Macaca fascicularis: one gene and its partner. The protein of the gene in region 1 interacts with the protein of each later gene in a pairwise test. Links are inferred from orthologs where the notes say so. Each region holds a gene or a part of one and is shown on either strand. Other genes may lie near its edges.

Region 1 (6,069 bases):
AAACCCCGTCTCTACTAAGAATACAAAAAAATTAGCCGGACGTGGTGGCGGGCGCCTGTAGTCCCAGCTACTCGGGAGGCTGAGGCAGGAGAATGGCGTGAACCCAGGAGGCGGAGCTTGCAGTAAGCTGAGATTGCGCCACTGCACTCCAGCCTGGGCGACAGAGCGAGACTCCATCTCAAAAAAAAAAAAAAAAAAAAAGTTCAAGAAAGAGAATTATTACAGGGAAACATGGATTTATGAAATCTTTTAACAGGATGAAGATACTCCAGAGGAACGTAATGAATGAGTCAATGTCCCTGAAAAGGCAACAGGGGAATTCATCTAGTGTATAAGTAGGAGAAATTAGCTTAAGATAAAATAAGGTTCTTTTTTCCTTTCAGAATTACAAGAGGAAAGAACGGATATGTATTAGTGAGGTGCATGGATGGCGCATTCAGGAAACACTCACTTTAATAATGTTGTCAGGAGCTCTGTTCATGTTGAGGTTCTTGATTCTCACTGTCAGTTGGCGGGCAGTCTTGCAGGTTAGAAGGTACTTGCTGATTAGAGGGTTAAGAAACTCAGTCCCTTCAAAATGCTTCAGTCCTAAAGCTAACAAACTGAGAAAGGAGCAATGACACTAAATCTCACTTCACAGTCCTTCCTTCTAAAGGGCCTCCCCAGACTAACACATTTTACAATCTACTTTTTCTCATTTTTTCTTAAGACAAGGTCTCACTCTGTTAACTGGGCTGGAGTGCAGTGGCACAATTGCAGCCCACTGCAGCCACTACTTCCTAAGCTGAAACGATTCTCCAGTCTCAGCCTCCCAAAGTGCTGGGATTACAAGCATGAGCCCATGGCGTGTGGCCCAATCTATTTTTTCATTTTTTCAGACAGGATCTTGCTCTGTTGTCCAGGCTGGAGAGCAGTGGCGTGATTACAGTGCATTGCAGCCTTGAATGCCTGGGTTCAATTGATTCTCGCACTTCAGCCTCCTGAGTATCTGTGGCCATAAATGTTTGCTACCATGCCTAGCTAATGTTTTCTTTCATTATTTGTAGAGACCAGTTCTCACTTTGTTGCCCAGGCTGATCTTGAACTCCTGGCCTCAAGCGATCCTCCTGCCTCGGCCTCCCAAAGTGCCGGCATTACAGGTGTGAGCCGCCATGGCTGGCCAATCTACTTTTTTGACAACTAATTCTTGTGTAAGTTGGTGACTACTCAGTAGAAAATTCCAGGTATTTAGTGAGTAGTGATTAAGTACTATGAATAAGAATCAAATAGTTCACAATTAAGTAGGAGCAAAAGAAACGTCATAAATCATTAATAAATGTCAGATCGTGATGAGCTGTATATTAACAATACAAAGGAAGTTCAAAGAGAATACATGGGAAGGAAAATGATCCTAATAAAACAAATATAAAATGAATAATAAGTACCCTGTCAGACAAATTAAACTGGCACCAATAGTATCCTCTAACATAACATATATAATCATGGTTACATATATACATATTTGCTGATAACAGTGTGGCAATACACACAAAGAGCCATACAAATGTTCATAATCTAGATGGGCGCGGTGGCTCATGCCTGTAATCCCAGGACTTTGGGAGGCCACGAGTGGGTGGATCATTTGAGGTCAGGAGATCAAGAGCAGCCTGGGCAACAGAGACCCTCACCTGTACACAAAAAATTACCCATGTATGGTGGCACACGCCTGTGGTCCCAGCTACTCCATGGAGGCTGAAGCAGGAGGATCGCTCGATCCCAGGAGTTCAAGGCTGCAGTGAGCTGTGATTGCAACACTGCATTCCAGCCTGGGTAAAAGAGTAAGATCTTGTCTCTAAATAAATAACACTAAAAGTGAACCTCCTGCCTTGGCCTTTCAAAGTGCTGGGATTACAGGTGGGAGCCAACACGTCCGGTCTAAAACAATTTAAAAATGTGCGTGACATCCCCCAGAAAGCAGTATTTGGCACAAACAAGCACGTCCTAGAGGAATCTGCTCATCTATACTGCTCTTCCTTTTGTCTTTTGTGTCCATGTTTTATTATACAAATCTTACTTCCCCTAAACTCCTCAAAGGAACTATGTCTTGTCCTTGGGATATTCTGCGTTTTGATGCCCCAGAGTAAACACTTACTTGTCCTCAGCCTTGGTGAAGAGTATCTTATCCTGGGGATTCTTTGCCTTCAGGGAACACACTGGAAGTAACTCTGGGTACATGAAAACCTTGCTTGTGGCCAGGATCCAAGCCACTTGCTTTGGCAAACAGGGAAATTCATTGGCTATAAGAAAATAAATCTCGGATAAATCAGCTTCTAGGAAAAAAGAGGGCTTCAAAAAGCCTATGAATGCATTTCTGCATTTAGGTAGAGCTGTCCTTATCTAACTGGATTTCCCTCCCATCTGCCTAGCATTCCCCAAAGAGTTTCCACAGTCTTTCTTCAACTAACATTATGTCTAAATGGAGTCCCATTCAATGGCTATAAAAGTTGACTCTCTTATTCTTTTTTTTTTTTTTTTTTGTGAGACGGAGTCTCGCTCTGTCGCCCAGGCTAGAGTGCAGTGGCCGGATCTCAGCTCACTGCAAGCTCCGCCTCCCGGGTTCACGCCATTCTCCTGCCTCAGCCTCCCGAGTAGCTGGGACTACAGGCGCCCGCCACCTCGCCCGGCTAGTTTTTTGTATTTTTTAGTAGAAACGGGGTTTCACCGTGTTAGCCAGGATGGTCTCGATCTCCTGACCTCGTGATCCACCCGTCTCGGCCTCCCGATTACAGGCTTGAGCCACCGCACCCGACTGTTCTTTTTTTTTTTTTTAAAGATGGAGTCTGGCTCTGTCACCCAGGTTGGAGTGCGTAGCGCAATCTCGGGTCACTGCAAGCTCTGCCTCCCGGGTTCACGTCATTCTCCTGCCTCAGCCTTCTGAGTAGCTAGGACAACAGGTGCCTGCCACCACGCCTGGCTGATTTTTTGTATTTTTAGTAGAGACAGGGTTTCACTGTAGACAGGATGGTCTCGATCTCCTGACCTTGTGATCCGACTGCCTCGGCCTCCCAAAGTGCTGGATTACAGGTGTGAGCCACTGAGTCTGGCCTCTCTTACTCTTTCTTACGTGTAACACTTTATTCACAAAGTAAAACAAACACTTAAAAAGTACCTAGTAATGGCCGGGCGCGGTGGCTCACGCCTGTAATCCCAGCACTTTGGGAGGCCGAGGCAGGCGGATCACAAGGTCAGGAGATCGAGACCACGGTGAAACCCCGTCTCTACTAAAAATACAAAAAATTAGCCGGGCGCAGTGGCGGGCACCTGTAGTCCCAGCTACTCAGGAGGCTGAGGCAGGAGAATGGCGTAAACCCAGGAGGCGGAGCTTGCAGTGAGCCGAGATCGCGCCACTGCACTCCAGCCTGGGCGACAGAGCGAGACTCCGTCTCAAAAAACAAAAACAAAAACAAAAACAAACAAAAAAAAAGTACCTAGTAATAACTGTCACATAGTGTATGCTCAAAAATGTTTTACCTCCTTTCCCCTTTAAATCTTTGAAGGATAATAGACCTTCAACAATGCTTTTTTTCTTCCAGGATAAAATTCTAGGCCAGGCATGCTGGCTCATGCCTGTAATCCCAGCACTTTGGGAGGCCGAGGCAGGGGGATCACCTGAGGTCTGGAATTCAAGACCAGCCTGGCCAACATAGTGAAACCCCATTTCTACTAAAAATGCAAAAATTAGCCAGGCATGTTTGCACGCACCTATAATTCCAGCTAGTCCGGAGGCTGAGGCAGGAGAATTGTTTGAATTTGGGAGGCAGAGGTTGTAGTGAGCCGAGATCACCTCACTGCACTGCAGCCTGAGTGACAGAGCGAGACCCCATCTTAAAAAAAAAAAAAAAAAACCACACAAAAAAGATTCCAACTTCTTTAATCTCCTTCACAAATCTGGTATTCCAAATTTTACTTTTATTTGATTTTTACTTAACTTGCATTAAGTTCTCCCAGATTCCTCCTGAGGTTGGGAACAAAAGAACCATAAAAGGAATGAGACAATTCAAGTCTCATTCATTTCTCTCTCCCTCTCTCATTCTCTCACTTTCAGGAACCTCTGCAATTCTAAAGACAAAACTACTATATCCCTATTTCTCCTTCCATAAGTGTTATTTTTATATCCCCAGAAGAAAGCAACAGGTCACTAGATGTGTAAGATAATACTATAATGTGGTATTAAATCACATTTTCATTACCATTTTGTATCACTTAACATAGCTATTAAAGTAGTTTGGGATCTGTGTCTATGATATAGTACACTTAAATTCAACTATATTCAATTTAATGATAAGACTCCGGGATTTAAAATAGCATCCAAAGACAAACCCAAATCCAGAACAAACCACAAGTAATTTACTAAATCAGCAAACAAATCAGAAGCAAATATTTGCTTAAGCAAACAGCAAATATTTTCTCAAAAAATATTAAACCAATGCAAGGTAGAAGAATCTAAACTGGCAAATTTTTAAAAAATACTGAATATGGCAAATGTACAATCTCTAACATGTCTAACTTGAAAGACATTTCATTCAGAATGGAGACATCACCTATGATAGAATCATTATGGTAAATGAAGTTAGTTGATCTTAATGAAGAGAGTAAAAAGCTAAACATGACCAAACTTTACCACCTGACTTTCATCTTTACCAGGCCCCAGTTTAATTACATCTGACTCCTAATATCCCTCAGATTGCTATAGTCCAATTCTTAGCACTGAGCCTCATATCTCTACCTCCCATATTCCTATACTGTCCACTGCCTCCATGCCTTACCCAGGCCCAGAGATTATCATGTAATTCTAGAACTCAGATAATGAGTACAAAGGGAGGATAAAAGAGAGAAGAAAGAAATTACAAATGTCCTGTGTCCTCCATTCCCAGGCAAGTATCCTAGGAAGTTATCTATGGGATAAGATTCCCACCACCTCTCACCGCAAGTAAAAACTTAAAGCTGACACATCTGTCTCCTACCAGTCTTCTTGACAGTTTTATGAGGGCTGCAGTCAATGCTGACATGTGTGCTGAAGTCTTCAATAAGCTGCATAGCTCCCATCAAGTTACAGGGTTGGAACAGGGTCTGAAACTTGGGGTTGTACTGATGGTGAAGGGCGATGGAGCTTTGAGCAAAGGTTCCCAGCTCTTTCTGGGAAAACAGGACACAAGGAAGATCTAAGACAATTCCAGACAATTAATACCAGTAGCCTTCAGAATCTAAATGAGAAGCTGACCTTCCTACTACAGGATAAAAACAGGTAAAAATCATCATAAAGTCTTTCACAATAAACTAGTCTGTTAAGATTACGCGTGAGTTCTCAGATATTCAGGGATTATATTCTTGTTTTATTTTTAAACTGTTTATCACTAAGGAATACATGGTCTAGCTCCCGAGCTAGAATTAAGAGGCTCAAGAATGAGGACTATTACTTTAATTTCCTTACTTTGAGACAAGGTCTCGCTCTGCCGCTCAGGCTGGAGTGCAGTGGCACAATCTCAGCTCACTGCAACCTCCTCCTCCCAGGCTCAAGCCATCCTCCCACCGCTGCCTCCTGAGAAGCTGGGACTATAGGCATACACCTCCACACATAGCTAATTTTTGTATTTTTTGTAGAGACAGGGTTTCGTCATGTTGAGCAGGCTGATCTCGCACTCCTGGGCTCGCATCTGCCTGACTCGGCCTCTCATAGTGCTGGGATTACAGGGATGAGCCACCTCACCCGACGAGGACATTACTTTTAAAACTGTTTTGTCTTTTGGTCTCAGAATAATGCCTACAACCAAGTACTCCTCATCCTCCTCTGAATACAGTAAGAGATGAAGACATCCTGTTGATCACCAAGTAAGTTTTAGAGTACTAGCAAATGTATTCTTCAAACTCCAAAGACGACTTGTTGAAGAAGCTGAGAGTATTATCATTACCTGTCCAAAAGTTTGAGGCAACTTTTATGAGGTAAAATTTGGTTTTGTTTTTGTGAGACAGGTTCCCACTTTGTCACCCGGGCTGGAGTGATGTATAATCATAGCTCATTACAGTCTCAAT
Region 2 (6,069 bases), on another chromosome or scaffold:
CTCACTTCTGCTCTTGGTAGGAACATGATAAACAGTTCTTACATTTTAGAAGAGGGCAAGTTGTATTAACATTGATAGAACAGTTAAAAGAGAGAAGTTGTGGTACAGCTTACATATGTGCCTATACATATAGAAAATCTCATAGTTCTGCCCTTGTCAGATACTTGCAGAGTATTTTGCAGACTTCCCTCCACCTGTTTGTTAAGTGAGGTTAGTCTGTTCGCTTGTTGAAGAGACTTGTGGAGGAAATCATGTGGCATGCTTTAACACTGTCAGCAGCCTGTGACTTCTGTTTTGCCTTTGCCATTAGCCTCTAACCTTCTGCCCGTCTCCTCTTTCTTCATTTACCATTTTGTGTTTGTGGCAAGTATTTTAAATGTACCACTAAATAATATCTTTGAAATGTGGCATTGCTTATTAACCCAGATGCCTACGTGTATCTTAATTCGGAGGGATGGTGCCTTGGAGAACCCGTGCTGCAAAAGTTTAGTCTCTTTCTTGAATGGATATGTTGGATATTTTATTTTGTTCAAAGTTTGAGTCAAAAATTTTAGAATCATCTATATTTCTCCCACAAACAGGTTTTGGCCGTCAGTACTTGAAAACAGTTCTCTGGCTGGCATCCTGGATCAAGGGGCAGTCTGTTTCCAGGGAACCTAAAATATTTAACAGTAAAGATGATGCTAAAACCAAAGAAAAGTAATTTTTCTTATCTGCATGGCCAGTCACTGACTACATGCCTAGTTACTCATGTCATTCACAGAAGCGACTCATGTCATTCACAGAAGCTTTAACATGCAGCCTTGGGTCCTCGGGTAGGGTGAATGGGGGGTAGGTTTTTTTGTTTGTTTAGGGGTGGCTTTTTGACCTTTTTAAAAACTTGAGTTGAAAATTATTTTTTGCACTGTATGTTTAACAATGCCCTTGACTAGGCATCTAAGATATTAACCAGCTTCAGCAGATTATGCGTCTGACGGGAACACCCCCCGCTTATCTCATTAACAGGATGCCAAGCCATGAGGTGAGAACAAAGAGACTGTACAGGGATGTCGCACTGAGAAGCCACGTTCTCATTTTATTGCCACTGTATAACCAACAGTTTTTAACATCACTGGATGCTTGCATGTGCCTGGAGGCCTGCCTATGTGCTATTGCAGGATGTTGACTTTTGGGATAAAATGTCATCCAGTCTTGTGAGATTGGGGATGGAAAATTGTTATTTTTATATTTGGTTTTGTGAATTTAGTGCTCGTGAGGCGGTTTCTTTCTAGGTGCTATGCCTGTAGCTAGGGTGTGCTACTATCATGACCTTTATCAGAAGGGTAGTTAACTGAAGTCCATTAGCATGCTTTCTAATTCATCCACTTTTTTAATGACCAAAAGAGAATTCTTTATTTAAAAACAAAACAAAACAAAACTGAAATATCCAGTACTAATACATACTATATTTAAAAGAAAATACACAAATAATATAAAATAAATACAAACACTTTGGTACAGTTAGGTACCTTCTTTATTCTTAACTACTTAGTCTAACTCTTGTTTTATTATCAGAGGTCATTGGGGCACTTCTTTCTTTCTAAGATACCCTTAATATTTTAGGGAACCGGGTTGGCATCACAGAGAGCCCCTCCCAGCAACTTTGTTTCTACTTCGGCTATATTCAGGTCATCTGTTGATTTATCTTTATTAAAGGGATGACTGTTCTCTGAATGAGATAATTGTCTCTTACCTGTTTTCCCTTCATCTTTTTATTTACATGTTCAAGTAGAAAGGGATTACAGCCATTTATATATTCAATTCCTACAACTTTCTTTTCAAATCAGAAAGATTCTCAGTTGCTTTTCAAAGCAGACCTTTCCTCCTGACTCCACATGCAATCATTAAGAAGGTGAAGGCTGGGCGTGGTGGCGTGCATCTGCAATTCTCAGCACTTTGGAAGCTGAGATGGTAGGATCAGTTGAGCCCAGGAGTTTGAGACCATCCTGGGCAACACAGCAATACTGCAGGTCTACAAAAAAATTTAAAAATTACGGCATGATAGCACACGCCTGCAGTCTCAGCTACTTGGGAAGCTGAGGCAGGAGGGTTGCTGGAGTCAGAAGTTTGAGGCTATAGTGAGCTGTGATTGTGCCAGTGATCTCCAGCGTAGGCAACAGAACAGAGACTGTGTCTCTAAAAAAAATTTTTTAATAAATAAGGTGAACTTGCCCAAGCAACCAGATTTTGTTTTTGTTTTTGTTTTGTTTTAAGATAGGATCTCACTCTGTCACCCCAGCTGGAGTGCAGTGGCACAATCTTAGCTCACTGGAACCTCCACCTCCTGTGCTCAAGCTTCCTGGGCTCCATCTCCCTGCTCAAGTGATCCTCTTACCTCAGCCTCCCAAGTAGCTGGGACCACAGGCATGCATCACCATGCCTGGCTAATTTTTTGTGTTTTTAGAGACAAGTTTTCACCATGTTACCCAGGCTGGTCTCAAAGCCCTGGGCTCAAGTGATCTGCCCTCCTTGGCCTCCCAAAGTGCTGGGATTACAGGCGTGAGTCACCGTGTCTGGGCAACCAGAACTTTTTACAACCTTGTGTGTGTATGTGTAAACATAAATATACATACATACCTTTACTGTTGGACTGTATTAAAACAGAAATTTTAAAAAGGTGGTTAAGATAGACAGCAGACTTTGCTTTTCTCTGAAGGTGATAGTGGGATAGCAGATAATGTTTCTTGAACTCTCACTTGGAACCAAGTACTGTGTTAAGAAAGTACTAGGTTTGTTATCTCTAATCTTCACTCCAACCCTGTGAGGTAGGACTGTTATATTAAGTTTATATTAACTTTTTTGTTACCAGTGTTACTTTGTTAGCAAGGTTTAATATTGATGTCCTTTGATGTGCTAAGAGCACCTGCTGAAGTCAGCACTATCAAAAGACTGCTGGTCCAAGACTTACTTTGGGAATACCAACCCTTCTAACAATTTTAGCTTTTTGAGAAGGCTGTCTCAGAAAGGGCTACTTCTTACATATCTCGGCCTCAGTTTTTAAACTTCTCATCCTGTGATCAGAAAGCTGATGAAAGAGAATTTGATTGATGAGTATTCTCGTTCACTTGAAATGCAACTGTGAGAGATAGCAGGAATAAAGAAGGTGATGATCATAACTAGGAAGTTAGGATAGCAGTAAGGGAGAAGTTTTATCAAAGACAGTTATAAACATTGGAGTTAGTGGACTTTGTCAGTTAACACTCGTTCCTTAGCAGGACCAAGGTTCTTTCTTTGAGAGAAGTAACATTATTGAACAAAGTAATTCTGAAAACCCTTGTTTTTTCAGGCAAGAAACTATATTCAGTCTTTGACGCAGATGCCGAAGATGAACTTTGCGAATGTATTTATTGGTGCCAATCCCCTGGGTAAGTTGACAATATCCTCACCTCATGGATATTGAATTGGTTATGATATAAATTGGGGATATGAAGAAGAGTTTCTCCTTTTGACCAAATAACGTACCATTAGTTGAATCTTGGAAGGTGATAAATATGGCTTTTATTATCTATTTGTGTTGTCAGATTTTTTTTTAATTACATGAGATGCTTATATGTTTAAATGATCACAGACCTTGGGGTCGGGGGAATGGGCAGGTACAGTGGAGAAAGGAGAGAAAGTAATAGGAATGTTGAGATAAAGGATTGGAGAGGCAGGAAGAAGCAGATACAGAAGAAAGCTGTAGCTTGTTCACAACTGCTGTGGATTCATGGTGTCCCTGAGTGGAGGACAAAAACCACTGAAGTACAGGTGGGTGTTTAGAGGACCCACCCAGGAACTCCCTGCAGGGTGCTCTGCTCTGTCAGTAGCTGCCGTTGCTACAGATCCTGTCATCTTCCACACACATGAACTTTTCCCCTCCCTTATTCTTTCTCTGCCCCTTAGAGGTGTAACTATCCTCTCCTCTTTGTGGAGCTTATTTGCTACCTAAACTTAAAGAAATGGCTTCATATGCCTTCAAGATCCTTGGCAGAGGGAAGTGATGGTGGCAGTTGAAGATATGTGTTGCCTTGGCTAAAAATGCAATTGCTTTATTATTATTATTATTATTATTGTTATTATTTTTTTTGGTAGTGTCAGGGTCTCAGTCTGTTACCCAGGCTAGAGTACAGTGGCACAGTCATGGCTCACTGCAGGCTTAAACTCCTGGGCTCCAGTGATCCTCCTGCCTCAGCCTCCCACATAGCTAGGACTACAGGCATGCATCCCCATGCCTGGCTAATTTTTTAAAGAATTATTTGTAGAGACAGGGTCTCACCATCTACTAATCTTTGTCTCCTGGGCTCATGCAATCTGCCCACCTCAACTTCCAAAAGTGCTGGGATTCAGATGTGAGCCACCATGCCTGGCTGACTATATTCTTTGAAGGGGAGGACTGATGTGTGCTTCAGATGGTCCCTGAAAGCTGCTTTGCCTGAGCCTCATTCCCTGACTCTAGAAGAGGGCAGTGGACAGTGCTGTTTAATGGTAGACACAGAAAGATCAGACCAGGACCTCCCTACAATAGGGAAGGGAGCTATGCTATGATAACGAGTATAATCCACCTTCTCACTTTTCTTAAGATTGTATTGCGTGGTATGTTTTAAAATCTCACTGCATTTCTTTGCATCTGTGTGGGTCATGTGTCTTCTTAAGGGTCTTGGCAGCTATGCTTCAGGTTTAGTTTTATCTTTTTGAGGGCCGACAGCCATGCTGACTTCTTTAGAAGCTGGGGTGAAGGCTAGGTGATTTTACCTTTTTAAGTACTTCATCCATAGTGGTTATGGAGAGGAATTTTAGTGTCGCAGTGATAATTCTTACAATAGCAGAGATGCTCATGCTCTTTGAAGTATTGGGCAGTTGTGGATGAGTTCGTGTCAGCCTTGGAGACGGAGAGTATGTCATATCTCAGCTGGGTTGCTCTCCTGCCCAAGGATGAATCCACAGTCTCATCAGGGGTAGGTACGATTCTACTGAGATTGGTTTAGGTTTGCATCTGCCCTGGCATGCTCTAATTGACTTTGTATGATTTATTTGAGCTGAGAAGCTCTCTTTGAGCCTTAAGTACTACAGGATGTTGGGAAAAGATGTTGTGTTCTTTCTTTTTTTTTTTTTTTTTTTTTTTTTTTTTTTTTTTTTTTGAGACGGAGTCTCGCTCTGTCGCCCAGGCTGTAGTGCAGTGGCACGATCTTGGCTCATTACAAGCTCCGCCTCCTGGATTCAAGTGATTCTTCTGTCTCAGCCTCCCAAGTAGCTGCGACAGCAAGCGTGTGCAACCACGCCTGGCTAATTTTTTGTATCTTTAGTAGAGACTGGGTTTCACCGTGTTAGCCAGGATGGTCTCAATCTCCTGACCTCGTGATCTGCCTGCCTCGGCCTCCCAAAGTGCTGGGATTACAGGCATGAGCCACTGCACCCGGCCCGTTGTGTTCTTTCTTGTCTGTCATTCTGTTCTGAATTTGTCCAGAACAGCCCTAAGCCCTAAGTTTTAAACAGGGCAGTACTCACTGACACCCTCTTAACGGACTCAGAAAGATTTGTTAATTCATGTTTTAGTGGGAGAGGGGAGATATTTGTGTTCCAGCAGCTTATTTAGGTCACATAGCTCCTGATAGGTCTTCCCATTCTTTGAAATCATGACGTTGAAACCGCCAAAAGAACTAGATACCACTTTGCTAATGAGTTGAAAGGAGGCTTTGGTCCATCTGGTGCTCAGCACTGTACTTCTCAGCATTTAAACGTGCCTTACAGCCCATTGCCAAACAGTGATGTCATATAATGAGGTTCCCCTTGCCGGGCAGATGGAGTACAGTGTTACTCTCACAAGCTCATGCCCAGCATATTAACTGAGCAGGAACATGCCAGCAATATAAATATTAACAGCTCTGTTTCGTCAGCCACTGACTTTGTTTCACTGCTATTCCCAAAACATGAATTAAAACTTAAATTACCCCTTGATGTTAGTGTATATATTTATCTGTCAAGATTTTTTTTTTTAAGAAATAGCATCTCACTCTGTCACCCAGGTTGGAGTACAGTGGCACAGTCATGGTT

What was found. The genes of interacting proteins can lie anywhere in the genome.
Region 2: the proteins of YY1AP1 (region 1) and MAPK14 interact in a two-hybrid assay, tested with the Homo sapiens proteins (2 studies listed by BioGRID and IntAct). The link is inferred for Macaca fascicularis from reciprocal best matches to the Homo sapiens genes YY1AP1 and MAPK14.

What each region holds. Positions count from the first base shown.
Region 1 is NC_088375.1:105,438,221-105,444,289, reverse strand, and holds part of YY1AP1 (YY1-associated protein 1), read right to left. Parts: intron 5,176-6,069; coding exon 5,004-5,175; exon of another isoform or gene 4,965-5,003; intron 2,277-4,964; coding exon 2,132-2,276; intron 603-2,131; coding exon 452-602; intron 1-451. UniProt on the Homo sapiens protein: Associates with the INO80 chromatin remodeling complex, which is responsible for transcriptional regulation, DNA repair, and replication. Enhances transcription activation by YY1. Plays a role in cell cycle regulation.
Region 2 is NC_088378.1:135,568,172-135,574,240, reverse strand, and holds part of MAPK14 (mitogen-activated protein kinase 14), read left to right. Parts: intron 1-941; coding exon 942-1,021; intron 1,022-3,325; coding exon 3,326-3,404; intron 3,405-6,069. UniProt on the Homo sapiens protein: Serine/threonine kinase which acts as an essential component of the MAP kinase signal transduction pathway.